7 linked regions of the Mus musculus genome follow. The protein of the gene in region 5 purifies or fractionates together with the protein of the main gene of each other region. This does not show direct contact. Links are inferred from orthologs where the notes say so. Each region holds a gene or a part of one and is shown on either strand. Other genes may lie near its edges.

Region 1 (4,274 bases), on a different chromosome or scaffold from region 5:
AATGAGCACATTCGCAGCCTTCATGTCCCTGTGCAGGATCTGAAGGGAGGACACACAAGAGCTCAGTCAGGTTTCATAGCATCCTGGAGCCTGGCCTACACAGCAGTCAAGAGCAGAGAAGCCCCATTCTGCCCCACCTTGTTCCTGTGGATGTAGTAGAGGCCGTTCAGCAGCATCTGCATCACTCTCTTGATCTCAGACAACGTGAACTTGACTAAGACGTTGCTCAGCAGCCCAGCAAGGTCATGCTCACAGAAGTCAAACACCAGATAGATGCTGCCCTTGCAGCGGTTATACGGTGAGGCTGATACAGAAGGGGCAGAGAGAAAAATAAAAAATAAAAACCTGCATCCACCTCATTTTCCACAGCCAACTCCCAGCCCTCCAACCCACAGACACCCAACTCCAAACAAGACCAGAGAAGATGGGGGGCCGGCACTCGGGAGGCAGAGGCAGGTGGACCTCTAAGTGTGAGGCCAGCCTGGTCTATGGCGCAAGGTCCAGGACAGCCAGGGTTACACAGAGAAACCTTGTCTCAAACCCCCCTTTTCTCCTGAGGCAAGCAACACACCTTTGGTCCGACAAATCTCAATTAGGTTCACCACATTCTCATGTTTTAGGAGCTGTAGAATCTTGATTTCCCTCAAGGCTGTGATGGGGAACTAGGGAGGAGAAAGAGGAAGTGGTCAAAATTGAGAGCACAACAGACGGAGGAACTGTGGGTGGGGTGGGGGTGTGTTTGGGGTCTATACTGAGGGACAGAGGTTGAAAGACAGGCGAGAGAATCGTTCCTGTGTGATGGTTCCTATCTGGAATCCAATTCTCGTATCAGGAGACAGAGACATCAGAACCACCAAGTTCAAGGCCAGACTGCTTAGTTGAGCTCCTGATTCAAAAAGAAGGGAGAGGGGAAGATATATCTATATTTATCTGTAGCTAGCCTTTGCAAAATATAAAATAAGTGCAAACACACACATATCTCAAGGAGCTGCTAAATGTTGCCATCTAGATAATGGTGGCCTTGAACTTGTTTATGAACCATCTTTTTTCCCCAGTCTCATAAGTGCTGGGATTATAATCACAACCCTTTACTCCAGACTGGGAATTTATTTTAGACAACCCAAATAAGGATAAACATTTTGTCACTAACACTTGTGAGTTAAGATCAAGAAATTTGTGGGGCAGTGGTGGCGCACGCCTTTAATCCCAGCACTTGGGAGGCAGAGGCAGGTGGATTTCTGAGTTCAAGGCCAGCCTAGTCTACAAAGTGAGTTCCAGGTCAGCCAGGGCTACACAGAGAAACCCTGTCTCAAAAAAACCAAAAAGATCAAGAAATTTCCTGGGAATGGAGATAGTTGAATGGTTAAGGAAACTGGCTATGGTCACGTGTGGCAGTCCAGCCCTTTATTTCCAGCAGTCAGGAAACACAGGCAGTTGATCCTCTGTGAGTCTGAGAACAGCCTGGACCAAACAGTGAGTTCCAGGACAGTTGGGGCTACAGAGAGATTTTGTGTCAAACAAAACATAGAGTCCCTGTTTCAGGGAAACACACACACCACAGCACTGGCTATCCTCCCCCAGGACCCAGGTTCAATTCCCAGCACCCACACAGTGGATCTTTTGTCCCAAATGATCCAAGGCAACCTGGCACACCTTTCTGGCTTCCTCAGGTACCCAGGTACTGGAGAATAGTGCTGTACACAGACATGCCAGAAAACAGAAGACCCTATAGACGCAAAGTAAGACAAACAGCATTTTCCTTACAAAGGCAATGCTGCTGAGGCTGATGGAAACAACACCTTTCAGAACATCACCTTAAGCTCAGCGGCCTTTTAAACGGCTTGTGCACAAATGGTCTCTTCATACAAAACAAAATTCAACGCCAAGCTAAGCTGAAAGTTTTCTAGAGTCAACCTGCACTCCATGGGAAAAGCACAGGCTCCCTCCCGTGGCTCCCACAGAACTCTGCCACTAAAGCTCAACAGTGTAAATGGAAAGCCAAATTCCTTGTTCCATGGAAAACCGAAAAACACTAGGTCGAATCTCAGCACAAAACCCTTTGAAGTAGCGGTGTGGAAACCCAGCCAGGTTAGAAGAAGGTCGGCCCAGTGGTCCATATACTCACCCCCTCCTTCTCATTCTCCATCAACACTTTCTTCAGAGCCACCTTCTGGCCCGTCTGACGGTGCTTGGCTTTAAAGACTTCCCTGCAGGCACAGAGAAAGACCCAAGGGACCCATAAGGCATTTCCGCAGGGAGTGCCCCTCCCCCGCGCGAAGGGGAGCAGCAGGAGCCCAGACCCACGGCGGGCGGGGTGCGGCCTCGGATCCGGGACGCGGTCATTCCACACCGCGTGTCTTCCGTCCTCCTCCCGGCCTCTGCTTACTCCTACTCAGCCCCTACTCCTCCCCTAGAGGTGGCCGCTCACATTCGGAGTGGCTCTCAGCAACCCTACCCAACCCCCATCACGGGCCCCAGGCTCCTCCCCGCCAGTCGGCTCGGTTGGGCCGGGAACGTCTGCGCCGCGGCCGAGCAAGACCGGGCAACAGCCACGAAAACAGAAGCTTCCGGACCACCTCGGCCCGGGCTCTGGGCGACCCGACGTCGGCCCTGGAAAGTGCAGGTCCCGGGCTCGCGGTCCCACGCGGCCTAATCTTACCCGAATGTGCCTTGGCCGATCTTGGCAAGTTTCTCGTACTTGGTGACCTCATCGCAGAACGGGCATTCCACCGAGTCGTACTGCTTGGCCATGGCCACCTCCAGCGCGCCTCCGCCGCCGCCGCCGCCGCCGCCCCCAGCCGCAGCTCCCGCCGCTCCCGGTCCCGCCACACTCCAGGCCCCTCCGCGGCCGCGCCACTTCCGCCTCCACGGCCACTTCCGGCCTCGAGGTGCCGAGCCCGCCTCTTCCGGTCTCCGCCCGCCGCCAGGCCCCCTGGGACTTGTAGTTCCCGGGAGGCCAGGGGGAGCCGGAGCTGCAGAGGAGCCTCCGCCGCCGCCACTGCCCCCGCCTCCGCCGCCGCCGCCAGCGCTGTTGGCGGCCCCGATCGGGGGCGCAGGAAGCCGTGGCGCTGGGGCTGGGGCTCGCGGCGGTGCGTCCCGCTGCATTGGCCCGGGCCGTGCTGCTGCCGAAGCTGCTGCCGCTCTGGCTCCCGATCCGGGGCCAGCCGCAGTGCCCTGCTCCTCCTCCTCCGACGGCGCCGCCTCCGCCGGGCTGCGCGGGGCGGCGGGTGGTGGTGGGGGGAAGGCCTGGGGGCGGAGGCTCCCTGGCCAAGCCCGGCCCGGGGCGGCAGGGCAAGGGGGCGAGATAGGCAGAGCAGACGAGGAGGCGGCCCGAAAGCCCGGGAGGGGGCGCGTTATAAAGGGGGAGGTGCCCGTCCTGGCCTCCCCTCCCCCTCCGCCCACCCCCTCCCTCCTCCTCCCACCCTTCGCAGCCGCACCTGCCGCCGCCGCCTCCCGCCCTCCCGCTCCCAGTCCAGCGTCCGCCCTCGGCGCGTCACTGCTCGCAGCCCCTCCTCTGCCTTTGGAGGTGGGGCTCCGCACTAGACACCTGCCTGCGGCTCCCTCCTGCGTGCCTCAGTTTATCCCCCGAATGCCAGCTGCTACAGAATGGCCCTTCTTCCAGGACCGGGAGTGTGCTCCCGGTGAGGCGAAGGCAGGAGGTGCCGTGGGAGCGGCCTTGAGGCCAGGGGAAGAGAGAACTGCCCCCGCTGCCGCCTCCGTCGTCTCAGCCACCCGCCGTTGACATGGCAACTGACGGCCGCCAGGGGGCGCGGCGACACTGTGGGCGGTGAGCGATCAACGCTCAGGCCTAAACCCTTGGATCTTGTGTTGTCAGGATGGATCTACTACAACCTTCCTTCACAGAGCCGCGCCAAAGCTGGTCTGTCCAGAGTCAATCATCCCCAAAACTGTTAACATTGAGCCGGCACTCCTGATGCTTTTGAAATGGGCGTGAGCCGGGCCTTGATGGCGCACGCCTTTAATCCCAGCACTTGGCAGAGGCAGATGGATTTCTGAGTTCCAGGCCAGCCTGGTCTACAGAGCCAGTTCCAGGACAGCCAGGAAAAACAACAATAACACAGAGAGACAGAGAGGAGAGTCTGAAGTCTGTTCTGTCTTCCTCTACTGTCTTGAAATTCTGAGCTGATCATGGCCGATTTTTCCAGCGTTTACCTCCTGGTCTGTGGTCCTACAAGCTCCCTTCTGTTTCAGTTTCCCAATCCCTCCTGTCTTCAGAGTTGCCACCCCACTCTCCAGGGTCAGCTGCAGGCTTC
Region 2 (3,646 bases), on a different chromosome or scaffold from region 5:
CAAGTTATTTCTAAAAGTGACTAAATGTCTATAATGTGGATACATAAAATCAGCAGGAGAAAGTAAGATTTGTTAGACAACAAATTCACTACTTTAGCAGAATGTTAATTCTAAAACACAGAAAACGATTATGTAAATAAGCTACAAGACTCAAAATGGTCAAGAGCACAGCAGGTATAAAGAAGTAGGACCTTGAAATAGTATAACCACGTTATTACAGAACAAGATTCCCCCATGAGCTCACACAGAGCAAGAACTACACAATTTCCCTTACCCATAAATAAATCATATCCCACTCACATAGCATTTGTCCTGAAAGTAATTTTACTAACATTTTTACCCTTTATCACCTTTTATGATATTTGTAACATTTCACAGATGATATAGCACCACATAACTGAAACAGAATATCTATTGAAGAGCATTACCACCAAGAAAAAACACTAATTAGTCATCGCCTAGCATGTCCACTTCATTGTATTTTAAAACTGGTAATTCCATTAGTAAAACTCCTTAACTAATGGAAGAAAAAAAAAACTATGACTAGAGTAGTATCCATTTTAAAGATAGAGTACTTACTTAAGAATGGTTTTTGCACTACTGCAGTCTTCAAATCGAATGGAGTATCCAACTTCCTGGCCTAACATCACGTCCATCTCATCAGCAACTCTCTGAGCCACACTCATTGCAGCCACTCTCCTGGGCTGTGTACAGGCGACTCCTCTTTTGGGTCCTGGCAAGGATCGCATATACTCCACACACCACTGTGGTATCTATGAAATAATTTCACATTTAAATTATTTGTACTCTGCCTGCATACAAACTATCTGTATCTAATATTATATTTTATTCTAATTATTTAAGGCAAAATTCAATTATGCAAAGAAGTTATGACTCCAGTTACAATAACATGAGCCCTGTAAGCCAGAAGGGATCATACACAACACAGATGTAACCTAATCACACTCTGGGAAGACAAGGTCAGCTCAGACTATGCTCAATATGCTCTACAGAACAGCTCGTACCATTAGTATTTTCTAAGCATCAGAAGAAACATCCAATTTAAATTCGATCCTTTAAATATAGCAATGTGCACTTTTGAAAACCACACTTTTAATTATAAAAATGTAGGCACGAGTATATAAACTGCAAGCCATCAAAAGGTCATCCTAACACTGTTAACTTTTCCTTAGGAGCAACAGGATGCACGGTGACAGCACCTTAGATACCATCTTAAAAGTTATCAAAACGGCCACCCTCAAGTTCAAAAGGACTGAGAACAGCAGCCAAGGGAAAAGGGGAAAAGAAAATGTGAAGCTCAAGATGGGTCATTATGGTGACCTATTTACTACACTACGTAGACGGGAAGGGCTTCTCTCATGGTTTAGTTCTCTAGCCATTTAATTGAACAGGAAGATGTAAATGCTCACAATCTTCAGTAAGAATCCTCCACAAAAGTACCTAGATCTGTCTCATCAAAGCTTCTGAAACCCTAAGGAATGGAGAAGCTTGGATTTCAGAATTTATATGATGACATCTGATGAGAAATGTTAGCTGATATACTGTTATATAATGTAGATTACTTTTTCAATTAGGGCTAGTTCATGCATAAAACAAATAACTCAAAGGGGAGACAATTATACTTTTTCTCCAAAGAAACTAGTGTATGTCTTTCAAGGGCCTAAATGAAGAACTACCAAGACTATCTTCCTAGTTCTGGAGGCCAGCACAGTGCTTTCCTAGGAAAGCTTTGAGGATCTACCTTCGTTTCACCAACCCTCCTCCAAAAACAGGTAAGAAGTGATGTTCTGTTGTGAAATTCAAAGCACTGACTAGCAGGTTAAAAGTTCTTTAAACTCTTCAGATTTAAAAAAAAAAAAAATCCATTCCAATGAAATGAATGACTTAACTTCATTTTGGTTATTTTGACAAATCTCAAAGAACTCAAAAAAGTTCTTTGTACTCTTAAAATAACTAATGAGAAAGTAATAGATTTACATATTAATTCCTAATGAAAACCCATCTTGTATAAACTTGAATTTTTTTCCCACATCAAATTTTTTTCAGACAAAACTTTTCTAGTAGAGTACATATTTTACATATTCCCAATTCTAGTTTCCACCTTAATAGACAGCACTTGGTTCTCTTTTTATGTTTGTCCATCTGTTCAATGCAAACTACCTTCAATGCATCTATTTTATTTTTAAAAAAAAAACTTAAAATGGAAAAGCATGAAAAATACATATGGTTTGACTTTCCAAAAAACACTAACTAAACAAAGATTATTAATAGCACGTGAAATAATTTAAAATTCTACTGATATTAATAAAGTTAAAGCTACATTCTCATGAATCTTTTTTTACAAGAGTTCAACACATTAAATTTAAAAGTTAAGGGTTTGATACAGGGTCTCTCTGTATACCAAGCTGCCTTCAAACTGCCCTGCCTCTGCCTCTCACACGCTGAAATTAAAGGTGTCATCATCCACAGCTAAAAGTTTGAGTTCTTATTAGCATCAAGTTGTCCCTCAATTGGGTCTTTTAATATTTTTGGTTGCTACAATATCAAAATGTCTCTATGAAATACTCAACTTTGATCACATAAAGAAAAATCCTAAGCCAGACATGGTGGTCCACACCTAAGGTTCAGGCAGCAGGACAGTAAACTAGAAGCAAGCCTAGACAGACTACATAGCAAGATCCTTCCTTAAAAAAAAAGGGGGGGGGGCAGGGGGGTCTGAATGTACAGGTCAGTGATAAGTGATAAGCACTTGCTTAGCAGCATGTGCCAACTATAAATGTTTACCCTACATTCATAAAAACGTAAAGAGTAAGCCAATAAATGCCTTTTATCTTTGCATATTAAATAGACAATTATAAAGTTAATTTCAGTATCTTCCCGAATTTTAGAAATGTCTACCATGTCCAGCAACTTTTGTAGTCAAGACGAAACTTTTTTTAACTAATGGCTTTCCAAGTGCCTATTAAATCCACAAGTACTTCATTCAACCATCAGATTAACAGTTCAGGGATATAACCAAAAAGTTTATAGATGTTTCAAGAGTAATTTGCTATGCTCCATGAGGAAAGAAGATTTAGCTACATGGAGTACAACTGTAATAAATCTAGCCATTTCAAAATCTACAAACATACTTATCCCTGAAGTCATTAAACAAAGCCTGAGGTTGGTATGTCAGCTGAGGGAGTTAAAGGCACTGGCCATTAAGGCTAACAACTTGAGTTCAATTCTCAATACCCATAGGATGAACAATAACTCTAAGTTATTCTGATTGCCACACATGTGCTACGGCATGGGTGCATCCATACACAAACATACACACATAAATAGATGCAATAATATACAAAATATAAAACAGGCTGCATGTCTATCAACAAGATCGACTTGTTCATGTTTAAAAACTGGGCACCTGGTGAGACACATTTAACAGTGTTTAGTACTGTATGCTAGAGGCAGATGGATGCAGGTCACAACCACACTTTGTACCTTGTAGCGTTTCTAATCATTTTCTTCTTTTAAGAAAGGATCTCATTATATAGATAAAACCGACCTTGAATTCAGAGACTTGCCTACCTGATCCCTAAATGCTGGAATTAAAAGGTATGCATTATCATGACTGGCAAGTTCA
Region 3 (3,646 bases), on a different chromosome or scaffold from region 5:
CTCAGCTTCTCTCCATGATCCCTTCATTCCTTCACAAGCAATACCACCTGAGTGACTCTTACACATTACCAAGTCCAGCCGCAGCATGAGGTACAACCTTGGGTATCTCTGGAGCACAGCTTCTTTGTGCTCCCAGAAAACAACTCCCAGATTTCAACTCAGTGATGCTGGTTTCTTCTTAATCACTGCTAATTCCTTAGCTCCAGCTAACCAGCATCAATTTTCCCAGTAGTTCCTTCCATTCTTAACTCTAGAGCCCGAGCCACATGGCTGAAGCCGCCGAGTTCTGCTGCTTACAGGAACTAGAACATGATCCCCTTGTACTATTACATTATCACTAGCTTTATGTTTCCTAAATCCTTCACTGCCTAAGCTTGGCTATCCTGGTTCTTGCTCTGTAGATTGACCTTGAATGCAGAGATCAGCATGCCTGTCTTGTGGGATTAAAGGTTTGTACCACCATGCCTGGATCTAAATTCAGCTGGGTAGAATCTTGCCCCAAGGTCCCACTCCCTTAATCTTTTATCTCCTAGAACACAAGATTTTGCTCCATTTCACTTCCTGGTACTCCTTTAATACTCGAACCATATATTTTATATTTTGCCTTTCTAAGCTTGCTATGCTTGTTCAAACTTCTCTTTGTGAGACTTAACCAGAGAACAGAGTCTCTGCTGGGCCTTTTTGAAACTTTCTTTGTCAATGCAATTAATGCAATTAATCCAAGTCTCTTCACCTTAGCCTCAGGCAGACTTTTCAGACAAGGGTAAAAAGTAGCCACATTCTTCACCAAAATACCACAAAAACGGTCTTTATGCCACATACTGAAATTCTTCTCCTTTGAAATCTCTTGGGCCAGGTCAACACAGTTCAAATCACTCCCAGCAACAAAGTCTTCCATATTCCTACTTGGATGACCCATTAAGCCCCATTTAAAACAGTCCACTGTGTTCCAAATCCAAAGTCCAAAAATCCACATTCTTTCAAATAAAAGCATGGTCAGGCCCATCACAGCAATACCCCAGTCCCTGGTACCAACTTCTGTCTTAGTTAGGGTTTTACTGCTGTGAACAGACACCAGGACCAAGCAAGTCTTATAAAAAACTACATTTAATTGGGGCTGGCTTACAGGTTCAGAGGTTCAGTCCATTATCATCAAGGTGGGAACATGGCAGCATCCAGGCAGGCATGGCGCAGGAGGAGCTGAGAGTTCTATGTCTTCATCCAAAGGCTGCTAGTGAAAGACTGACTTCCAGGCAACTAGGGTGAGGATCTTATACCCACACCCACAGTGACACACCCATTCCAACCAGGTCACACCTATTCCAACAAGGCCACACCTCCAGATGGTGCCACTCCCTGGTCCAAGGATATACAAACCATCACACCCAGAGAGGGCACCCAGCATCCGTAGTGGCCTGGAAAGTAAACTGGCTGCGGGAGGTTGCCGGGGATGTGTTGGCAGAAGCTGATTGAAGTATTAACATGGGCACCAGCCTGCCCATTTAAGTGGTGTTCAGCAGTCCTGTTTTCTCCCTGGCCTTCAGGGAATGAAATGTTGGTTCCTCCTAAGTCCGAGGCATTGCCTGGTGCCCACTAAAGTAGAGTGGGTCAGAGCTATATAGGCTGTTTTAACAAATGAGCTATTAAGACACTGGGCAAGATTAGAGGGACATGTGGGCAAGGGTAGGAAATGGAGAGGAGAAGGGTCCAGGGATTGGCTGTAGTGGTGGGCTGTGTGGAAGAGACGGGAAACAGCTGGCTATAAAGATTTTAGGAAAAAAAATTCTTTTATATGGGTTGAATATTTTGGTGGTACTGATTAATTGTGTACGGGTAGTTAGGTATTTAAGAAACCTGTTTGCATAGTGTGTACATAGTGATGTGTGTGTGCCTGTGTAATTTTCTCCTCAGGCACTACCCACCTTATTTTTGAGACAGGATCTCACTGTATGACTGGACAGTGAGCCTCAGGAATCCTCCTGCCTCTGCCCTCCCAGCTCTGGGATTGCAAGCACATCCGCCGTGTTTGGCTTTTTGATTAGTGTTGTGCTCCGGGGCCCGAACTTGGGTTCTCATGAGGTTTTTAAAATTTTACTTTAAAATTTACGTTTATAGTCCGTGAGCATGCGCATGAATCTATGCTTGTACCTACGTGTGTGCGTATGTGCGTGCACCTGCGTGAGGGGGGGGGGGAAGCGTATGTACGTGTATTAAGTGTATGTGTGCGCATGCGCATGTGTGTTTTGCGCATGCGTGCACGTGTGCGTGTGTGAGTGTGCTCGCGCGCGCCCGCGTGCGCACGGGTGTGTGCAAGAGAGATCGCGAGGGGTGTATGTGTGTGTGTGTGTGTGCATGCTGTGCGAAAGAGAGAGATCGCGAGCGCGCGAGGTGTGTGTGTGTGTGTGTGTGTGTGTGTGTGTGTGTGTGTGTGAGACAGCTTGCAGGAATCACTTCCCTCCACACTGAGGGTCTTGGTGAGGCCCATGTTTTGATTTCTCCTTTTCTCTTCTCTAAAAAGTCATAGAATGTCGTACCACCCAGGACGAGGGTGTCCCCGGGGCCGAGGAGGACACGGAGCCAGACCTTCAGCACCAGCTTTCAGACCCCAAAACCTGCGACTTCTTCATCCCCAGCAGCCGCCTGCGCAGTATCAATATGAGCCTCCGAGCGCCCCCTCTTCCTCCTACTCGAACTCTCAGGCCCCCAGCTTTATGCCCCCACGGCCAGACTTTGTCCCTTACCCTCCCCCAGCGGCGCCGTCTGCCCAAGGGCCTCTCCCTCCCTGCCCAGTGAGGCCGCCTTACCCCAACCACCAGATGAGACACCCTTTCCCGGTGCCTCCCTGTTTTCCACCCATGCCCCCTCCGATGCCTTGTCCCAATAACCCGCCTGCCTCCGGAGCACCTCCCGGACAAGGCACTTTCCCCTTCATGGTGCCCCCTCCTTCCATGCCCCACCCTCCGCCCCCGCCCGTCATGCCGCAGCAGGTTAATTACCAGTACCCCCCTGGGTACTCGCACAGCTTCCCACCGCCCGGCTTCAACAGTTACCAGAACAACTCCAGCTCTTTCCCACCCAGTGCTAACAGCAGCAGCACTCCTCATTTTCGACACCTCCCACCATACTCACTCCCAAAGGCTCAGAATGAGAGGCGGTCCCCAGAAAGGCTCAAGCACTACGACGACCACAGGCACCGAGATCACAGTCACGGGCGAGGCGAGAGGCATCGGTCCCTGGAGCGCAGGGAGCGCGGCCGCAGCCCTGAAAGGAGAAGACCTGAGAGCCGCTACCGCTCAGACTATGATCGGGGGAGAACGCCACCGCCTCGCCACCGCAGCTATGAAAGGAGCAGGTGAGCCCATGCCAAGTTCCTTAATAAAGCTGTCTGCTGGGCAACAAAAACTTGTGCACAACCCCCCATCCCCACCCCGTTTTCTTTTGAGGCAGGGTTTCTCTGTGTAGCCCATGCTATCCTGGAACTCACTCTGTTGACCAGACTGGCTTTGATTCTTCTACCTCTGCCTTCCTACTGCTGGGATTGAAGGCGTGCCATACCACTGCCTGGTATGCACTTTGATTTTTAATTAAAAAAAAAAAAGCACAGTTTAGGCTTTTTATAAGGAAGACTGACAAGTAAGTTGGTTGT
Region 4 (3,646 bases), on a different chromosome or scaffold from region 5:
GTATTAAGTTACTTCTTGACTTGGACACTTGATATATATCAATCTTTTGGAAAGCACTTGGAGGGATGAGTAGAAGGACACAAAGAGAAAAGAATCACTGTATAAATAGTCAGTAGAACAATTTATGGGTAATGGAAATTAAGGTTTCAGACTGAATAGAATTTCTGAAGAAAAGATCCAGGATCTATTCTAGATAGTATAGAACTGAAGTTTGGCCTTAGATAAGTCATCTATATAGATTTTACAGTACACGGGTGGTGGTGATGCACACCTTTAATCCTAGCACTCGAGAGGCAGAGGCTGGTGGATCTCTGTAATTTCAAGGCCAGCCTGGTCTACAGAGCAAGTTCTAGGATAGCCAGGGTTACACAGAGAAACCCTGTCTTGAAAAACTAAAAATGAATGAATGGGTGAATGAATGAATCAGAGTACTAAGAATAAATCAACTTAGGGCTGAAGAAGAACTAATATGGGGCAACCTTTAAGTTAAAAAAGGGTAAAACCAGAATAATAAATGATAGGTTTAAGTAAAGGGAGAAGACAGTATGACTGGATGACAAAGCATAAAGAATATAGTGGGTTTTATAAGAGGAAGTCATGATCTTAAAACAGTGTTTTCAAATCATAATCTCACCATTTCTTTCCCTCCCTTTCTTTGTCTCATTCATTCATGTGCATGAAGAAAGGAAAACGAAGAGAAAAAGAAGGGAGACAGACAGACACACACACACACTCACGGGGGTGGGGGGAGCAAGCATGCCAGTGTGTATCAGCAGATACTCCTCCTATGGCAGCATCCATCTGTACACGTCAAAGAACAACTCGAATGAGTGGGTTCTCTCTAATTTTTGTAATCTGGGAGTTGAACTCAGATCCTGAGGCCTGCAGTAAAAATACCTCTATTAGCTGAGCCATCTCACTTGTGCAATCTCAACATTTAAAAAGTAAAATGCTCACTCAGTCTAAAAGCTTTGATCATAAGCAGGAAATCTGTATCCTATAACTGTGCCTACAATTCATCCTTTGACACCGCAGACTCGTCAACTCTTAGCTACTATGGAGGTAAAATCCTTTGGTGATGTGAGGGACATTGAAGTACAGCCTTATAACAATGAACTCCAATGTCTAAAAATTGTTCCTATTTTGGGTTTGTACCAAAGTAAGAGTCAAGATCTTAAGCTTTACTAAAAACAAAACAAAACAAACAAAAACTATCTTAAAAAAATAATAAATAAAATAAAATGAGCAGGCCAGGCGTGGTGGCACACTCCTTTAATTCCAGCACTCTGGAGGTGGAGACAGCTAAATCTCTGTAAATTCAAGGCCAGCCTGGTCTACGCTGCAAACTTCAGGCCTTTGAACGCTGTAGGGAAATGGCTCAGTGGAAAGAGTGCTTGCTGTGAAAGCAAGAGAATCTAAGTTCAACGCCTCAACACCCACATAAAAAGTGAAAATGAATGGAAAGTAGGTATAGGCAAGGTATAATCTTATTCAGTTCTTTCACATTATACATATAGTCTTCTGCTTTGCTTTTTGAAATAGAATCTCATGTATCCCAGACTGTTCTTGAGTTAAGCTTTTTTTAAACTCCTAACCTCCAAGTGCTAAGAATACAAGCATGCATCCCAGTTATATATTTAAGTATGTGGACCTGTGGTATAAAATATACTTCTCAATCAACTGCATGGATTCAATTAGAATCTTTAAATAAAGTTATGTAGTCAGGCTAACCAGAAATGAGAACTGTCTTCTCCCGAATCCTAAAAAGTTATTGGAGGAAAAAGCTTCCACTTGAGAGCTAGAGAGCAAAGGCTCTGACAAAAAACAAGATGCGATTAAGACAAAGTGAAAAGGAAATTCCATGAAATCAATACTACTTAGACATTTATTTAGTCCAACTACTATTAAAGCAGAAAGAAGCAACTGATACATAGGAAACTTGAACTCTAAGTTTATTATAGCTATCTCCTTTTGGGAGAGCATTTATATTTATAAATAATGCAACAGATCCCCACAAACCAACTTCGAAATGCATTTTTTTTACCTGTGACTTTACTGAACTCTTCCAGAATGTTCTCTTTAGTTTTATTCTTTGGAATGGATCCAACAAAAAGTCTGTTGTTTGCCACAGAAATGCACACTCCCAGGTGTTTACCAGGGCGAATCTCATAGCTGTCACACTGCAAAGAAGAAAAGAACCAGAGACCCCCAAACCATCCCAGACTGAGGACAACTAATATTAATCTAAAGAGCCCCACAATTTAAGATCAAACACTCACCAAGCTCCCTCACACTTGCTGAAACATGAGTGTAGATTTTGAATTCGTTACAATCCCCAGTTATAGCTTAGTTCTGTAACCTCTACTGTTCATCCATATAAAAAGGGGATCAAAGCTATTCATTTTAACACACCTTTCTCTCTCTCTCCCTCTCTCTGTTTTGTTTTTGAGACATGGTTTCTCTGTATAGCCCTTGCTGCCCTGTATAGCCCTTGCTGCCCTAGAACTCAGTGTAGATCAGGCTGTCCTAGAACTCAGAAATCCACCTGCAATTCTCTACCTCCCAAGTGCTAGAACTAAAGGCATGCACCATCACTGCTGACTTATTTCAATTTTATCTACATTCCCTTCCAGAGAATTTCAGAAGGAATACCTGAAAATTATTTATTTTTATTTATTCTGAGTCCTTGAGGATGAAATTAGATATAGATCAGCAATAGCCAAAATAATTACATGTAAAAAGGAACAATTAAAACTTTAACTATGGGGGCTGGTGAGATGGCTCAGTAGGTAAGAGCACCCGACTGCTCTTCCGAAGGTCAGGAGTTCAAATCCCAGCAACCACATGGTGGCTCACAACCATTTGTAACAAGATCTGACGCCCTCTTCTGGAGTGTCTGAAGACAGCTACAGTGTACTTACATATAACAAATAAATAAATAAATAAATAAATCTTTAAGAAAAAAAAAAAAAAAAACTTTGAGTTTCACACTGTATACAAACCACAATTCTGAATAAAGCTATAAAATATCAGAACACTTTCAAAACTTTATGAAGACAACAAAGAATGTGATGAATTCTTTAATAAATTTTATTTTATGTTTTAACATTACTTACTACTAGTTTACTAAGTGATATTTTTAAAGTTATCCATGGGACTGGTGAGGCAGCTCAGTGGTTAAGAGCATTGGCTGCTCTTCTGGAGATACTGAGTTCAATTCCCAGCAACCACAAGGTGGCTCACAACCATCTGGGCATCTTGATGCCCTCTTCTGTCATACACATGGGAACAGAGCACTCATATATATGAATAAATAAATCTTTTTAGTTACCTATACACTATCAAAAACAAGAAAATAAAACCTTGAAATGTCCTTAATATTGAATACACAAGTTTTAAGAGAAAAATCCATCAGAAAAACTAAACCCTGGACCAAGCTAGTAAAGGACTGCTTCAAACTCACTGATGAAACAAGAACACTTGGTGGATACAGCTGTGCTAAAAAAGGACAAGAACTGCCTGCCATACCACACTGCGTATGCCCTTAGATGTCTGGCAAAAATCTGCCAAAAACAGTAACACTGTCACTTTAACACACCGAGAGTCAGAAAGCATACAGGCCAGACTCAGAACTTACTGCTGCTCT
Region 5 (4,287 bases):
ACAGTGTCTCCTGAATTCTCCAGTTTCTACCTCCCAGGCACTATTCTCAGGATAAAATTTTTGTGTGTGGAAGCACATGGAGAAACCAGAAGGCAACTTTTGCAAGTTGGTCTCTCCTTGTGGTAGTTGATCTTGATCAGGCTCATGACAAGTATCTATAATTGGCTGATCCAACTAACTGTCTTTGGATACTAATTTTTTCCCCCCGAGATAGGGTTTCTTTGTGTAGCTCTGGCTGTCCTGGAACTCAGAAATCCACCTGCCTCTGCCTCCCCAGTGCTGTGATTAAAGGTGTGTGCCACCACGCCTGGGCTGGATACTAATTTTAAGTGGCTAGTTTATACTGGCAACCCTATATTCCCTATATGAAAGTCAAAGGAGTTTTAGCAAATATGGTGGGAAACTTAAGATAATACTTACAATAGGCCCATCACCTCTCTCTAGGAATGGCTGGTGGTTTATGTGTACAATGGCAGGCAGCAAATACTATTGAAGAGTAAAAATAATAGAAATTGGATTAAAATAGTTATATATCTAAGGTCACCTCTGCCACAATTTATCAAGTTTTCCTAGACTTACAGATAATGTTTTCCCAGATCCAGTCTGAGCTACTCCAACCATATCCAATCCACTGAGAGCAACTGGCCAGCCCTGAGCTTGAATAGCAGTGGGTTCAGTAAAGTTCTGCCTTGCAATCACATCCATGACATTCGCTGCAACCAACAATACCATTTTAAAAACAAATTTATAAGCAAGGGGGGGGGGGGAAATGAAAGGATAAAGATGAAAGTTAGTCCTTACCAGGAAAGTTTGCTTCATAAAAATTCAGAACAGGTTTTGGACAGTTGTGACCTCTAACTGTAATTTCCTTGCTTCTTCTGTATGTATCTACCTCTTGCTGAAAAACAAATTATCTCAGCCTCAGACTTCTGCCATGCTCCCTATAGCTCAATAAACTTTTAAACATACTTATTTCTAAAAATCTGGACCCATAAATAAGAACTCTACTTGGCAACAAAAATTAATAATTAATTTATAATACTTATTTAAATGAAAATTGAGTCTCTATGAAGCCCAATAGACTGCTAAACCTGTTTCCCCAGTGACAGGATTAAAATAGGGCACCATATATCACAAGAAAAATTCAATGGAAGTGCACCACAAGCAACTCTCCATTTGCAAGGCACCTATTACATTTCCATCTAATTGACTAGAAGCAGTTACTGAGTTACAGCATGAAGAAGCCACATTTATAAACTCACTGCGGTGCGCCTTGCCAAATCAGGGTGTTCTTGATAAAAATTCTTCTCAAATTTGGGCAGCTCATCAAGATTCCACTTCTTTTTAACTAGTTTCTCCCCAGGATTTCCAAACTTCTTTCCAGAGAGGGGTCCTGTTCTACTCCCTCCAAATCGAGGTGCACCAAACCTACACACACACAAAACAAAAGTTGGGCACATTGTGAAAGATACTGCATGAACAGGTTTGCCCTCACATTTCATCTGCTGCCTTTTGATAGAGCCAAAGTGTGCTTCTGGAATCCTTCCCAACTGTCATTCTAAGGACAGCCACAACTGGCAGCGTTTCTTTTCTGAAGTCCCAAGCACACTCTACTGAGGCCAAATAAACATCGTGGGTTTATCAGGTGGCAAACAGCCCAAACATCTGACCAGATTACAAGGACAAGAGTTAGAGCCTCCATCTTCTCTCCCCACAGAGCTTAGGCATTAGCGTCTAGGAGCTGGGCAAGAAGGGAGGAGCTTAGGAAGGTTATTTTTGCCCGTTTTCATCAAAGGACCTAATCTTAAAGAAATAACGGGGCCGCAAAGGCAATGTGAGCAGCTGAACGAGGCTAGCACGGCGGACAGGGTAGAAAGGGGAACAGGCGCCAGCGAGCCGAGTCTAGGGAAACGCCGCGAACGGCTGCAAACCAAGGTAACAAAATTATATAACGCGAGGGAGAAAAAGAGGAGGAGCCGAAAGCAACCGGGGGAGGAGTCCCGGCCCGGGCGGCGTTCCCGCTGGGGCGGCGCTTCCTTCTTTGTCTCGCATTTCTCTCTGCGCCACATTTTCTCGCCGCTGCCATTTTGAGCTCCTCCGCCGGGCGGGGTAACAAAGGCGCCGCCGCCATGTCCGAGGCCGGCATTTTGTGGCTGCGGCTCCGCCACATGGCCGAATCCGCCGGCGTAGGCCACCCAACGGGGCACAGGGGACCTCGAAAGCGCCCCTTCTTTCCCCCGGGGATACCGGAAGGGGGGGCCCCCCTCAAAAAACAACCCAACGAAAGATTGCGCAAACGACGCCGGGAACCGCCTCAAAGGCGCGGCGCTTCCCGACCGAAAACACTCCTCCGGGTTTCCCTCAACAGCCGCGAGGTCGCCGGGCCGCCCCGGGTCCCGGCCCACCCTCCCGGACCAAAAAAAAAAAAAAAAAAAAAAAAAAAAAGGTTGAACGCCATTACCCGAAGCGTAGCCTTTAACGGCTTTTAACCGGACGTGTGACAAAAGCCAGGCCTCCTTTCAGGAAGGGAAAAAAAAAAATCTAAAGGTCGGTTGGGAAGGCGAGCCTTCGGCCGCGCCGCTCTCCCATCCCCCACCCGGCCTGACAGGTCTCTTGTCACACTCACCCTCGATCCCGGCCGCGGTCTCGGTCACTAGAATAACTCGACATGGCGTCAATGGTGGCGGTGTGCGGGCGGAACCCAGTGAAAGTAGAATCCTGCGGCGACGAGTCGCGGAGAGAAGGCCTCGGCGACGGCGAAGCCTCTGCGGGGGCGTCACCAGCGGAGGGGCCGGTGGTGTCGAGGGCCGGAGCTGCGAGGGCAAGGACCGATGGAAATGAATGAGGTGCCGGCTGCGTCCCGGCAGCCGCTTTTATAGTCTGGACCGCCTCCTCGCCGCAAAGCACGCTGGGAGCCGCTCTATGACCTAATCACCCCGCCCCCCTGGCTCGGAGGCCCTCAACGCCCGCCCGCCCGGGTTCCGGAATCCGCCATGTTCTCGCCCCTCCCCCTCCGCGGGCGGGCGCTCCCTCCCCGGCGCCCGTTTATTACTCGCTTCACGACTGGGTGACACCACTAGAATGCCTCGCCCCGACGCCCTTTTGGCGACACCGCCGTCTCTCGTCTCGCTACACCTCAGACAAGCTGCTTCCCCGTGGCCAGACGGTCCTTAAAATGGCCAGCGCCAGCCATTCCACCGACTCTACTTGAAGATGTTTACGTCTCCACAGACTCCCCCCACGCCCATAACCGAAGGAGACCAGGGAGGCGGAGCTTGGCCTCATCACGTGATCGGACCCAGGGCAAGGCGGATCGCACTACTTCCTCGCTTGGTCTCTCGGCGGAGGAACACCAAACCACCAACTCACCGGAAGCGCGGCTCCAACGCCCCCGGGGAGATCGGCCGGGCTGCTGGGTGACCTGGCTGCCCTGCCCGCCGATCTGAGAACCCGTAAGCGGGATCTTGACCGCGGGGAATGGTATCTGGAGCCCGCAAACTGCCGCCTCAGCGCGTGCTGCGAGGAAGTGCTCCTCTGCTGTCCAATCAGCGTCGAGAAGCCGTTTTAACGTCCCTCCCTCTTCCACCCCTCCTTCCCCGCTCGCTAGTGTCTGCCCCCTCCTCCTCCCGTCGGCTCGACCGAGTTCGACCCTTCTGGGACACCGTCGCCCGCGCTCTCGTCTTGGAGTCCGGCCGCGACCTCTCCTGGCAGTATGGCCAGCTCAGAGGCTGGTGAGTCTCGGCCTGGAGCCCTGGTGGTTTTGTACTGCAGCATTCCGCGGACCTTGGGCTGAATCTGAACCGCGTCTGCGCCGCTGCGGAGGCTCGGGACTGTCGGACACTAGTTGCAGTCGCGCGCGCGGTGGGGGGGGGGGTTCTATGAATTTAGGGTCTCAGCCTCGAAACCTCTTGCGGTTTCCAGACGTGGAACTGAGACTTGGGATGAGATAGGAACTCTTTGTCGAGCCTGGGACACCCGCATCCTGTCTATATAGAGCAGTCAAGATCCTTTCTTGGATCCGAATTTTTGTGGGGTATCTATCCACAGACTGTCTCTCTTTCCCCTTGCTTTGTTTGGACTAAGGCAGAACTTATCTTTATATTGATTTTTTTTTCCTTTTTGAGGCATAGCACTCATAAGTTCTTTTGATGCCCTCTAGAGTAACTGGCATTTTCTAGTACTGCCTTTGAAAAGCCAATTGATTCGGTTGTCTAGGACGCTTTCCTCTCTTTCCAAAATGGTTGTCATGGCTTGGTCAGCTGTGCGACATAGGCATCGGGAAGAGGG
Region 6 (4,350 bases), about 18 Mb from region 5:
CAGTCTCCCCAGAGAGAGTTCTGGGATAATAGGTGTGTCCCACCTCACCCAATTTAAAAGTATTATAACCAATCTGGCTTAGATGAAGAAATTCTTAAGAGACACTTGTGTCTCAATCTGTTACATTATTGAAACAGTGAACCCCAGAGAAATGGGAGTTTCCTTGGAATCTCATGCTGGGAGAGACCAGAGGGAGAATTTGTCTCCTGGGAAAAGATTTCACAGTTAGTACAGCTTGTGGGACAGAACAGCTTACCAAATGAGATTGAATCCCAGACAATGATGGGCCACTGGTAGGCTGGACCAGGTCTGGACTGGCACTTAGATACAAATATTTTTGCCTTCTGTTTTAACTCTGTTCTCACTTCAGAACGGGGAAGGTGGACTTGAGGGGTTTGCTGGGTCTCTTTTTTCTGTTTTCCTCTTTTAAGTAGGCTCATTTAATTGGCTTAAGGACCGGTGGCTGGAGCTGACTTGGGGCAAAAGTTGTGACACCCAACTTTTGTAATATTAGGTTTTGTTGTTGTTGTTTTAAAGATCATCTACCATAAAAGGAACACCAGATCTGAATGGATGACCATAGGGTCCTGCCTTTAGGGCTTGGGAGGAGATTTGTCAGAGCCCACCATCAGGAAAGAAGAGGGAGCTGCATACAAAGGCAGCACAGCTGGAGGGAAGGGGAAGGGAGGGGGAAGGGAAGGGGAAGGGAGGGGGAAGGGAAGGGGAAGGGAGGGGGAACGGAGCGGGAAGGGAAGGGGAAGACAGCCACAGTCCATAGAATTGTGTTTTGTTTCTTTTCTTTTCCTTAAATTATTATGTGTATGTTATTGGGGGAGGGGGGTGTCAATTTTGTGCAGTCTTAACCAGGGTTTTAGTAATTGTGTTTAGGTCTCATATTCTGTTGTACAGCCATCTCCCCAACCCTATTTTTAGATGTTGAGACGGCCACTAACTCTCTAGCCCGGTCTGACATCGAACTCACGGCAATCCTGTTGCCTCAGCCTCCTAAGTGACTAAATTACGGGCACGAGCCACCAAGCTCTGGGTCAACAGTATTTTGTTCTGTTTGGCTTTGAGTTTTAATAAGACCGGTCCTGTTCTGGAGGGATGATTGGTGACACCTCGGGGACACAGATGAATGTTCTCCAAAGCTCTGCTGCACTGTGCTAGGACGTAGGCCCCGACCAGGAGGGTGGGAATATTCCAGCCCCTGCGACAATTCATCTGCAGAGTGCCTCTGAAACTGCACCTGGTAGCCCTTGGGTCGTGCGTCGCTCGGGTCCGCGGGGTGTGGAGAGCATCAGAGTTCCCCAGGTCCCATAATCACCTTTGGCTTCCAGCACCAGGAGGGAAGCCTCCCGCCCACTGTCCGGCCCCCAGGGACCCACGTGACTTCCTGAAGCCCCAGGGCGCCGCCCCTCCTGTTCAGTTTCGATTCCTTCCTCGCTGCTTCTTAAGTACCGCGCGGTAGGGTGCGCAGCTGTCCCTGCGCGTCACGTCGGGTGAGCCCACGAGCGCGATGGCGGAGCTGAATCCTCTGGCCGAGGAGCTGTCCTGCTCCGTCTGCCTGGAGCTCTTCAAGGAACCTGTCACCACTCCGTGCGGCCACAATTTCTGCATGTCATGCCTGGATGAGACGTGGGTCGTCCAGGGCCCGCCGTACCGATGCCCGCAATGTCGCAAAGTGTACCAGGTGCGCCCGCAGCTGCAAAAGAACACGGTAATGTGCGCGGTGGTGGAGCAGTTCCTGCAGGCCGAGCAGGCGCGGACCCCGGTGGACGACTGGACGCCTCCTGCCCGCTTCTCCGCCTCCAGCGCAGCCACCCAGGTGGCCTGCGACCACTGCCTGACGGAGATCGCAGTGAAGACGTGCCTCGTGTGCATGGCCTCTTTCTGCCAGGAGCACTTGAGGCCTCACTTCGACAGTCCGGCCTTCCAGGATCACCCCCTACAGTCGCCCATTCGTGACCTTCTGCGCCGCAAATGTACCCAGCACAACCGCCTTCGGGAATTGTTTTGTCCCGAGCATGGCGAGTGCATCTGCCATATCTGCTTGGTAGAGCACAAGACCTGCTCCCCTACGACCCTAAGTCAAGCCAGCGCCGACCTGGAGGTAGGGAGTGGCTGGTTGAGGGTATAGAGGACAGCTTGGATCAGCTGAATTGTGGAGAGGCCATCCTGGGTATCCCTGTAGTACAGTGGGTTGCTAGAGGAGATAGGCTTTGCTGGGCCAGAGATCCCATTCCTTCACAGACCTCATGGCCTTAGGCTCCGTGGGCCGCAGTCTGGGAGTTGGGCAGTAGGAAGCCATCCCCACAGACCAAACAAGTAGATTTTATATAGCCTCCCGCTCATCCATTATCGCCTGCCTTCTCCAGCCCTCTTAGTTCTATTTTACATAGAGCACAACGGAAGGCACAGGTAAGAGTGCCTGCCCCAAGTCTGTGTTTGTCCAGTGGAGTTCAGTAGTTTTGAATATTAACCAGGAACCCTGGGGGTTACCTCTCCAACCCCTTCAGATCCTGGCAGCACGAAAGGGCTGTGTCTGTTTAGTTCATTCCACAGCTCAGGGCTGTGTCTGTTTAGTTCAGGAAAACAGGCCCAGAGAAATTAGCTTAGCAGGAACCAGGCTGCTTTGAGTCACAGCTTCTGGTTTCCTTTTTCCCTGTAGACCACAGATCTGTTGAGTCCAGAGCATGGAGCAGTCTTGGAAGCTTGAGGTTAAGGGTAACAGAAGCCTCTGTTGAGGAGGGTGTGAATGGATAGTGAGTGTGAACACAGAGCCTCAGAAATCCCTGCTTGTGACTTTGGCACTGTGGTATAGCCCTTTTTTGGTTGTTTTTAAGACTGTCTCACTATGTAGTCTTAGCTGTTCTGGAGCTTGCTATATTGACCAGGCTGGCTTTGAACTCATGGAGACCTGCCTGCCTCTGCCTCCCAAGTGCTGAGACTAAACGCACGCGCTCAGTTGGTGTAGTCCATCTTGCTGTGTGAAAATTGAGCAGGGCCTGGCGTGGTGGCGCATGCCTTTGATCCCAGCACTCGGGAGGCAGAGGCAGGTGGATTTCTGAGTTCGAGGCTAGCCTGGTCTACAGAGTGAGTTCCAGGACAGCTGAAGCTATATAGAGAAACCCTGTCTCGAAAAACCAAAAAAAAAAAAAAAAGAAAGAAAGAAAAGAAAAAAGAAATTGAGCAGGAATTGGGCCTCTGGACCTGGGTCCGCCTTGCTAAAGACTGGAAGCGTGTGTCAGGGAGTCAGGGTTCCTAATGGCCTTGTGGGGTTGCAATGATTTTAGTGGCTTTAGAGGTCCCCCCCCCATTACAGACTCAAAGCAGTTGTTGCCTCTCTTCGGTACATTTGTCAAAGTGTGATCTGATCTCCTTTCTCTCTCAAACGTCTGAGAACTTGAGGCCTGTCCCAACATTGTGGAAGGAATTGGAAACCTGGGTGAGGTTGGCAAGCCTTGCTGTGTGGTGCCAAGATCTCAGCTCCGCTCCCTCCTCCTGCCACAGCCCTTCCCTGGCCTTGCCTGCCTGTCTGGGTCTTAGTCAGGTCCCTTAGAATGTCTTCCCTCTGATTCTTGGCACCTGTATCTACAGGTAACATCTTTAGAGTTCTCTTCAGTATACCCCATGTGGGTACGGGGTACGGATACCTCCAAGTCTAGCTGTTCTGGGAGAAAGTCTGCCCCGCCTTTGGTGCTTTTGTCTTTGCTACCACCAGAGCTAGCTGTTTGGCTTGGGGCAAGACCCTACAGATCTCTGGGTAGGTCAAGAGCCACCAGGGAAGTGCCGCAGAGGCAGGATCCGGTGTCAGGAGGCTTGGCACTTAAGAGGTCCCTCCCAGATTCAGTGCCAAGATCTTGGTTTAAATTGTGACCCCCAGCAGTAGCTTCCAGCTACAGAAGAATAAAATGGGGAACATGATGGTCTCCAGTTACAGTGAGGGCTGGTGAGATGGCTCAGTGGGTAAGAGCACCCGACTGCTCTTCCGAAGGTCTGGAGTTCAAATCCCAGCAACCACATGGTGGCTCACAACCATCTGTAACAAGATCTGACTCCCTCTTCTGGAGTGTCTGAAGACAGCTACAGTGTACTTACATATAATAAATAAATAAATCTTAAAAAAAAAAAAAAAAAAAGGCATGCTCCAGTTACAGTGAACCTTGGGTGAAGTGAAGCTGGTGTAGTGGCTCATGCCTGTAATTCCAGCCCTTGGGAGGCTTAGGCAGATAAATCATGAGTTTGAGGCCAGCTTGGACTACATCGTTTCAGGTCAGCTACAGGGTGAGACTCTTGTCTCAGAAAGACAACCACAAATAACCAGTGGCCAAGGAGGTGGCTTGGCTG
Region 7 (3,321 bases), about 56 Mb from region 5:
TATTTGAATGTTTTTATGTTGAAGAGCTGATAGGATTTGCATGCTTAGCAGAATGTTAAATCTTGTATATTTTAAGTACTATTAATACTCTTGATGACATAGACAGAATTAATCAAATATCTTAATAGTTTTTAGCATAGTATGTATTAGAACTTTGACTAGAACTTTATATATGTATCAATTTGTAATATTTTATAGTTTGAAATCAAGTCTGTTTTGTTTTATCTAAATTGGTGAGAATTGAATGCTATCTGTCAACGTTAAATATGAACATAATTTCATATCTTCTAGGAAAGTGCTTTAAGGCCTTTTTGTAAGCTTGGGAATGTATCCACGGGAAGGATTTTTCATAGACGGAATTTCCAGAAGTGAATCATACTACTGTTAGAACATAAGAGTGCATGATTGCTTTGTAGATAGTTATTGTTGAAAGTTTAGTTTGTATGTTTGTCAATTATGATTTTTAAAATGTTTTCAATTTTTACATAAACTGTTTAAATGTGTAATTTTAAAATTGAAGTTCCAATAACTTAAAAAGAATTGAAATATATGAGGTTAAAAGGTTTCTTATTTTACTTAAATTGTTATTTTAATGCTTAAAAAATTTAAAGTTCTTGTATAATTCTATTAAGATGCATAGATTAAAATGTTTTTAATTGTTGAATTCTTAATGCACCCTCTGGAGTATAACACTTTTTTTTCTTTACTGTATATACTATGCCTTGGGTGTGTTAAGAATTGAGTTATACTCTTTATAGTGGAACTTCTTATTATTGCAATGCATATTTTAAGAGTACTTGTTGAAAGCATACCATTCACCTAAAGTTAAAATTCTGGTTTATTTAAAGCTATAAGAAGAATCATTTCTGGGCTTGTGATGTTAATATTGCCCCCCTACTGGGGTTATTTGTCCTTGGGTTGAAGGGTTGGAAATCGTGCCAAATGGGATAACATTGCCGGTGGACTTCCAGGGGAGGAGTACGGGGGAGGCCTTCGTGCAGTTTGCTTCACAGGAAATAGCTGAAAAGGCTCTAAAGAAACACAAGGAAAGAATAGGGCACAGGTGGGGATGGATGGTTGGTTGGATATGTCACTTTTCTTATGGTAAACAATTAAATCCATATTCTCTCTGCTTAGAAAGAGGAAATTACCCATTTCCTATTCCCAGTTAATTGATAATCTGCTATAACTTCTAAATTTTCCCAGTTAATGTATTTCATTCAAATTAAACTTTAGGCTTTAAAATTATCCCTAGTTTATTGGGCTGTCTTTACAATTTTGTAGGACTTTTAGTTTATTAACCCTAATCAATAGAGTTGAGAGACTATGGCTTTAAAAAATTACTACAAACCTGTCTTTAGCTGTAATAACACCCATATAGGAAATTAATATTACCATAAGAAAATGTGATACTTTCTGATCTTGTTTTTAAAGTTGAAATGCAACAAACTTTTTCTTGCTGTATAAATATTCTGCATATGTATTAATAAGCATAGCTTTCAAGAAATTGTCACAAAGGGTTTTATTCTCTTTGCTTGTGACTATTTTTCATTGAAGCATGCGCTTTTTTACCTATGCTGATTCCTACTAAAAGCATAGGCTGGGTACTGGCGAAAAGAAGTGTGTAGTGTGGGCTAGACTGTTGGTGGAGGCTGGCTTTTTAGCCCACTTGCTACACATACTGCCAAAGGAATTGAAATAATGAAAGTTGAGTGGAATTATTCCCTCCTAAACCATTTACTTAATACTCCTCTCTGCCTCTAAGGCTGGGCTCTGCCTCAGAGGAGTTTATTTTCTTTTTTTCTATAAAGTTTAAATAGTCTTTTGAGTGAATTTTCTGGTCATTGCCTATACAAATAAATGTAAGAAATCTGGCTTTAAATATTAGTCAGTTTCATGGCTATGACTAAATTGTTTTTCTTGTATAACAAAGTAATTGTATGACATGAACTAATGTTTTCTCTCCCCTCCCCATTCCCCTTCCTTTTGGACAATGCTTTAGGTATATTGAAATATTTAAGAGCAGTCGAGCTGAAGTTAGAACTCATTATGACCCACCACGAAAACTTATGGCCATGCAGCGGCCAGGTCCCTATGACAGACCTGGGGCTGGCAGAGGGTATAACAGCATTGGCAGAGGAGCTGGTTTTGAGAGGATGAGGCGTGGTGCTTATGGTGGAGGTGTGTATATGCTGAACCAGCTTCCTTTGTGTGTGTGTGTTGCTTCCCCCCACCTCCCGACTAATTGTACTTTTTTTCTTTCAGGCTATGGAGGCTATGATGATTATAATGGCTATAATGATGGCTATGGATTTGGTTCAGATAGATTTGGAAGAGGTAAGGTAAGAATTGAATTTCTCAATTGAAGGATATTTACACATTTGTCCATCTAGACCTCAATTATTGTTTTTCAGGAATGTCTGACCACAGATATGGGGACGGTGGCTCTACTTTCCAGAGTACAACCGGACACTGTGTACACATGCGGGGATTACCATACAGAGCTACTGAGAATGACATTTATAATGTACGTGTTCAACTAAATTCACTTGGGATAATTCAGTACAGTAGTAAAAATAATGGGGTGATCATTATACATTTTGATTGTTAAAAGCTGTCTAATTTTAAATAACTTGTATTTTAGTTTTTTTCACCACTCAACCCTGTGAGAGTACATATTGAGATTGGACCTGATGGCAGAGTAACTGGTGAAGCAGATGTTGAGTTCGCAACCCATGAAGATGCTGTTGCAGCTATGTCAAAAGATAAAGCAAATATGCGTAAGTGTGATTAAATTATTTGTAACCTCAGGCAGTTCAGTGACAAGCATTTAGAATAGATTAGTAAGGGGATATATAGGAAAGATTTGATCTCTAGTGAGGAAGCTTGGTTGTACTGAAGGAAGCTTATGTGTGTGTGTGTGTGTGTTTTTAAACCTATTGGGATTTGTGATAAGATATAATCTTGAAGTTTGACCTTAGTTGATATGATAGTTCAAAGATAAGTGTTTTAAAAGCTAGTTCTTAACTAACATGGGAATTTTCTTTTTGCCAAAAACATTTGTGATTCACAAATTACTTTTAAATTGCTTAACTTGTTTTCTTTTACAAACTAACAATTTCAAACTTTTTTTTTCTCATTTCAGAACACAGATATGTAGAGCTCTTCTTGAATTCTACAGCAGGAGCAAGCGGTGGTGCTTACGGTAGCCAAATGCTAGGAGGCATGGGTTTGTGTAAATATCACTTTAGTGTCTTTTTTTAAGCTAACCTTGTATGCCTTTTCTCTCATTTCAGAACACAGATATGTAGAACTCTTCTT

Evidence for each region.
Region 1: the proteins of Ddx5 (region 5) and Cdk9 purify together in Homo sapiens (affinity purification with western blotting; 3 studies listed by BioGRID, with this or other methods). This does not show direct contact. The link is inferred for Mus musculus from reciprocal best matches to the Homo sapiens genes DDX5 and CDK9.
Region 2: the proteins of Ddx5 (region 5) and Dhx15 fractionate together in Homo sapiens (co-fractionation; 3 studies listed by BioGRID). This does not show direct contact. The link is inferred for Mus musculus from reciprocal best matches to the Homo sapiens genes DDX5 and DHX15.
Region 3: the proteins of Ddx5 (region 5) and Drosha purify together in Homo sapiens (co-immunoprecipitation; 4 studies listed by BioGRID and IntAct, with this or other methods). This does not show direct contact. The link is inferred for Mus musculus from reciprocal best matches to the Homo sapiens genes DDX5 and DROSHA.
Region 4: the proteins of Ddx5 (region 5) and Hnrnpr fractionate together in Homo sapiens (co-fractionation; 3 studies listed by BioGRID and IntAct, with this or other methods). This does not show direct contact. The link is inferred for Mus musculus from reciprocal best matches to the Homo sapiens genes DDX5 and HNRNPR.
Region 6: the proteins of Ddx5 (region 5) and Trim25 purify together in Homo sapiens (affinity purification with western blotting; 3 studies listed by BioGRID, with this or other methods). This does not show direct contact. The link is inferred for Mus musculus from reciprocal best matches to the Homo sapiens genes DDX5 and TRIM25.
Region 7: the proteins of Ddx5 (region 5) and Hnrnph1 purify together in Homo sapiens (affinity purification with mass spectrometry; 4 studies listed by BioGRID and IntAct, with this or other methods). This does not show direct contact. The link is inferred for Mus musculus from reciprocal best matches to the Homo sapiens genes DDX5 and HNRNPH1.

The regions. Positions count from the first base shown.
Region 1 is NC_000068.7:32,709,906-32,714,179, forward strand, and holds the start of Cdk9 (cyclin-dependent kinase 9), read right to left. Parts: upstream 2,880-4,274; 5' UTR 2,752-2,879; coding exon 2,660-2,751; intron 2,208-2,659; coding exon 2,126-2,207; intron 887-2,125; exon of another isoform or gene 663-886; coding exon 572-662; intron 305-571; coding exon 138-304; intron 40-137; coding exon 1-39. UniProt on the Homo sapiens protein: Protein kinase involved in the regulation of transcription.
Region 2 is NC_000071.6:52,180,403-52,184,048, forward strand, and holds part of Dhx15 (pre-mRNA-splicing factor ATP-dependent RNA helicase DHX15), read right to left. Parts: intron 774-3,646; coding exon 580-773; intron 1-579.
Region 3 is NC_000081.6:12,831,311-12,834,956, forward strand, and holds part of Drosha (ribonuclease 3), read left to right. Parts: intron 1-2,518; coding exon 2,519-3,352; intron 3,353-3,646. UniProt on the Homo sapiens protein: Ribonuclease III double-stranded (ds) RNA-specific endoribonuclease that is involved in the initial step of microRNA (miRNA) biogenesis.
Region 4 is NC_000070.6:136,327,900-136,331,545, reverse strand, and holds part of Hnrnpr (heterogeneous nuclear ribonucleoprotein R), read right to left. Parts: intron 2,181-3,646; coding exon 2,045-2,180; intron 1-2,044. UniProt on the Homo sapiens protein: Component of ribonucleosomes, which are complexes of at least 20 other different heterogeneous nuclear ribonucleoproteins (hnRNP). hnRNP play an important role in processing of precursor mRNA in the nucleus.
Region 5 is NC_000077.6:106,785,647-106,789,933, forward strand, and holds the start of Ddx5 (probable ATP-dependent RNA helicase DDX5), read right to left. Parts: upstream 2,849-4,287; 5' UTR 2,671-2,848; coding exon 2,627-2,670; intron 1,429-2,626; coding exon 1,263-1,428; intron 899-1,262; coding exon 802-898; intron 714-801; coding exon 580-713; intron 487-579; coding exon 421-486; intron 1-420. Other genes in the region: Cep95 (centrosomal protein of 95 kDa), read left to right, coding at 3,713-3,731. UniProt on the Homo sapiens protein: Involved in the alternative regulation of pre-mRNA splicing; its RNA helicase activity is necessary for increasing tau exon 10 inclusion and occurs in a RBM4-dependent manner. Binds to the tau pre-mRNA in the stem-loop region downstream of exon 10.
Region 6 is NC_000077.6:88,997,970-89,002,319, forward strand, and holds the start of Trim25 (E3 ubiquitin/ISG15 ligase TRIM25), read left to right. Parts: upstream 1-1,433; 5' UTR 1,434-1,519; coding exon 1,520-2,113; intron 2,114-4,350.
Region 7 is NC_000077.6:50,380,535-50,383,855, forward strand, and holds part of Hnrnph1 (heterogeneous nuclear ribonucleoprotein H), read left to right. Parts: intron 1-924; coding exon 925-1,063; intron 1,064-2,002; coding exon 2,003-2,181; intron 2,182-2,265; coding exon 2,266-2,337; intron 2,338-2,393; coding exon 2,394-2,527; intron 2,528-2,644; coding exon 2,645-2,780; intron 2,781-3,145; coding exon 3,146-3,205; coding exon of another isoform or gene 3,206-3,235; intron 3,236-3,296; coding exon 3,297-3,321. UniProt on the Homo sapiens protein: This protein is a component of the heterogeneous nuclear ribonucleoprotein (hnRNP) complexes which provide the substrate for the processing events that pre-mRNAs undergo before becoming functional, translatable mRNAs in the cytoplasm.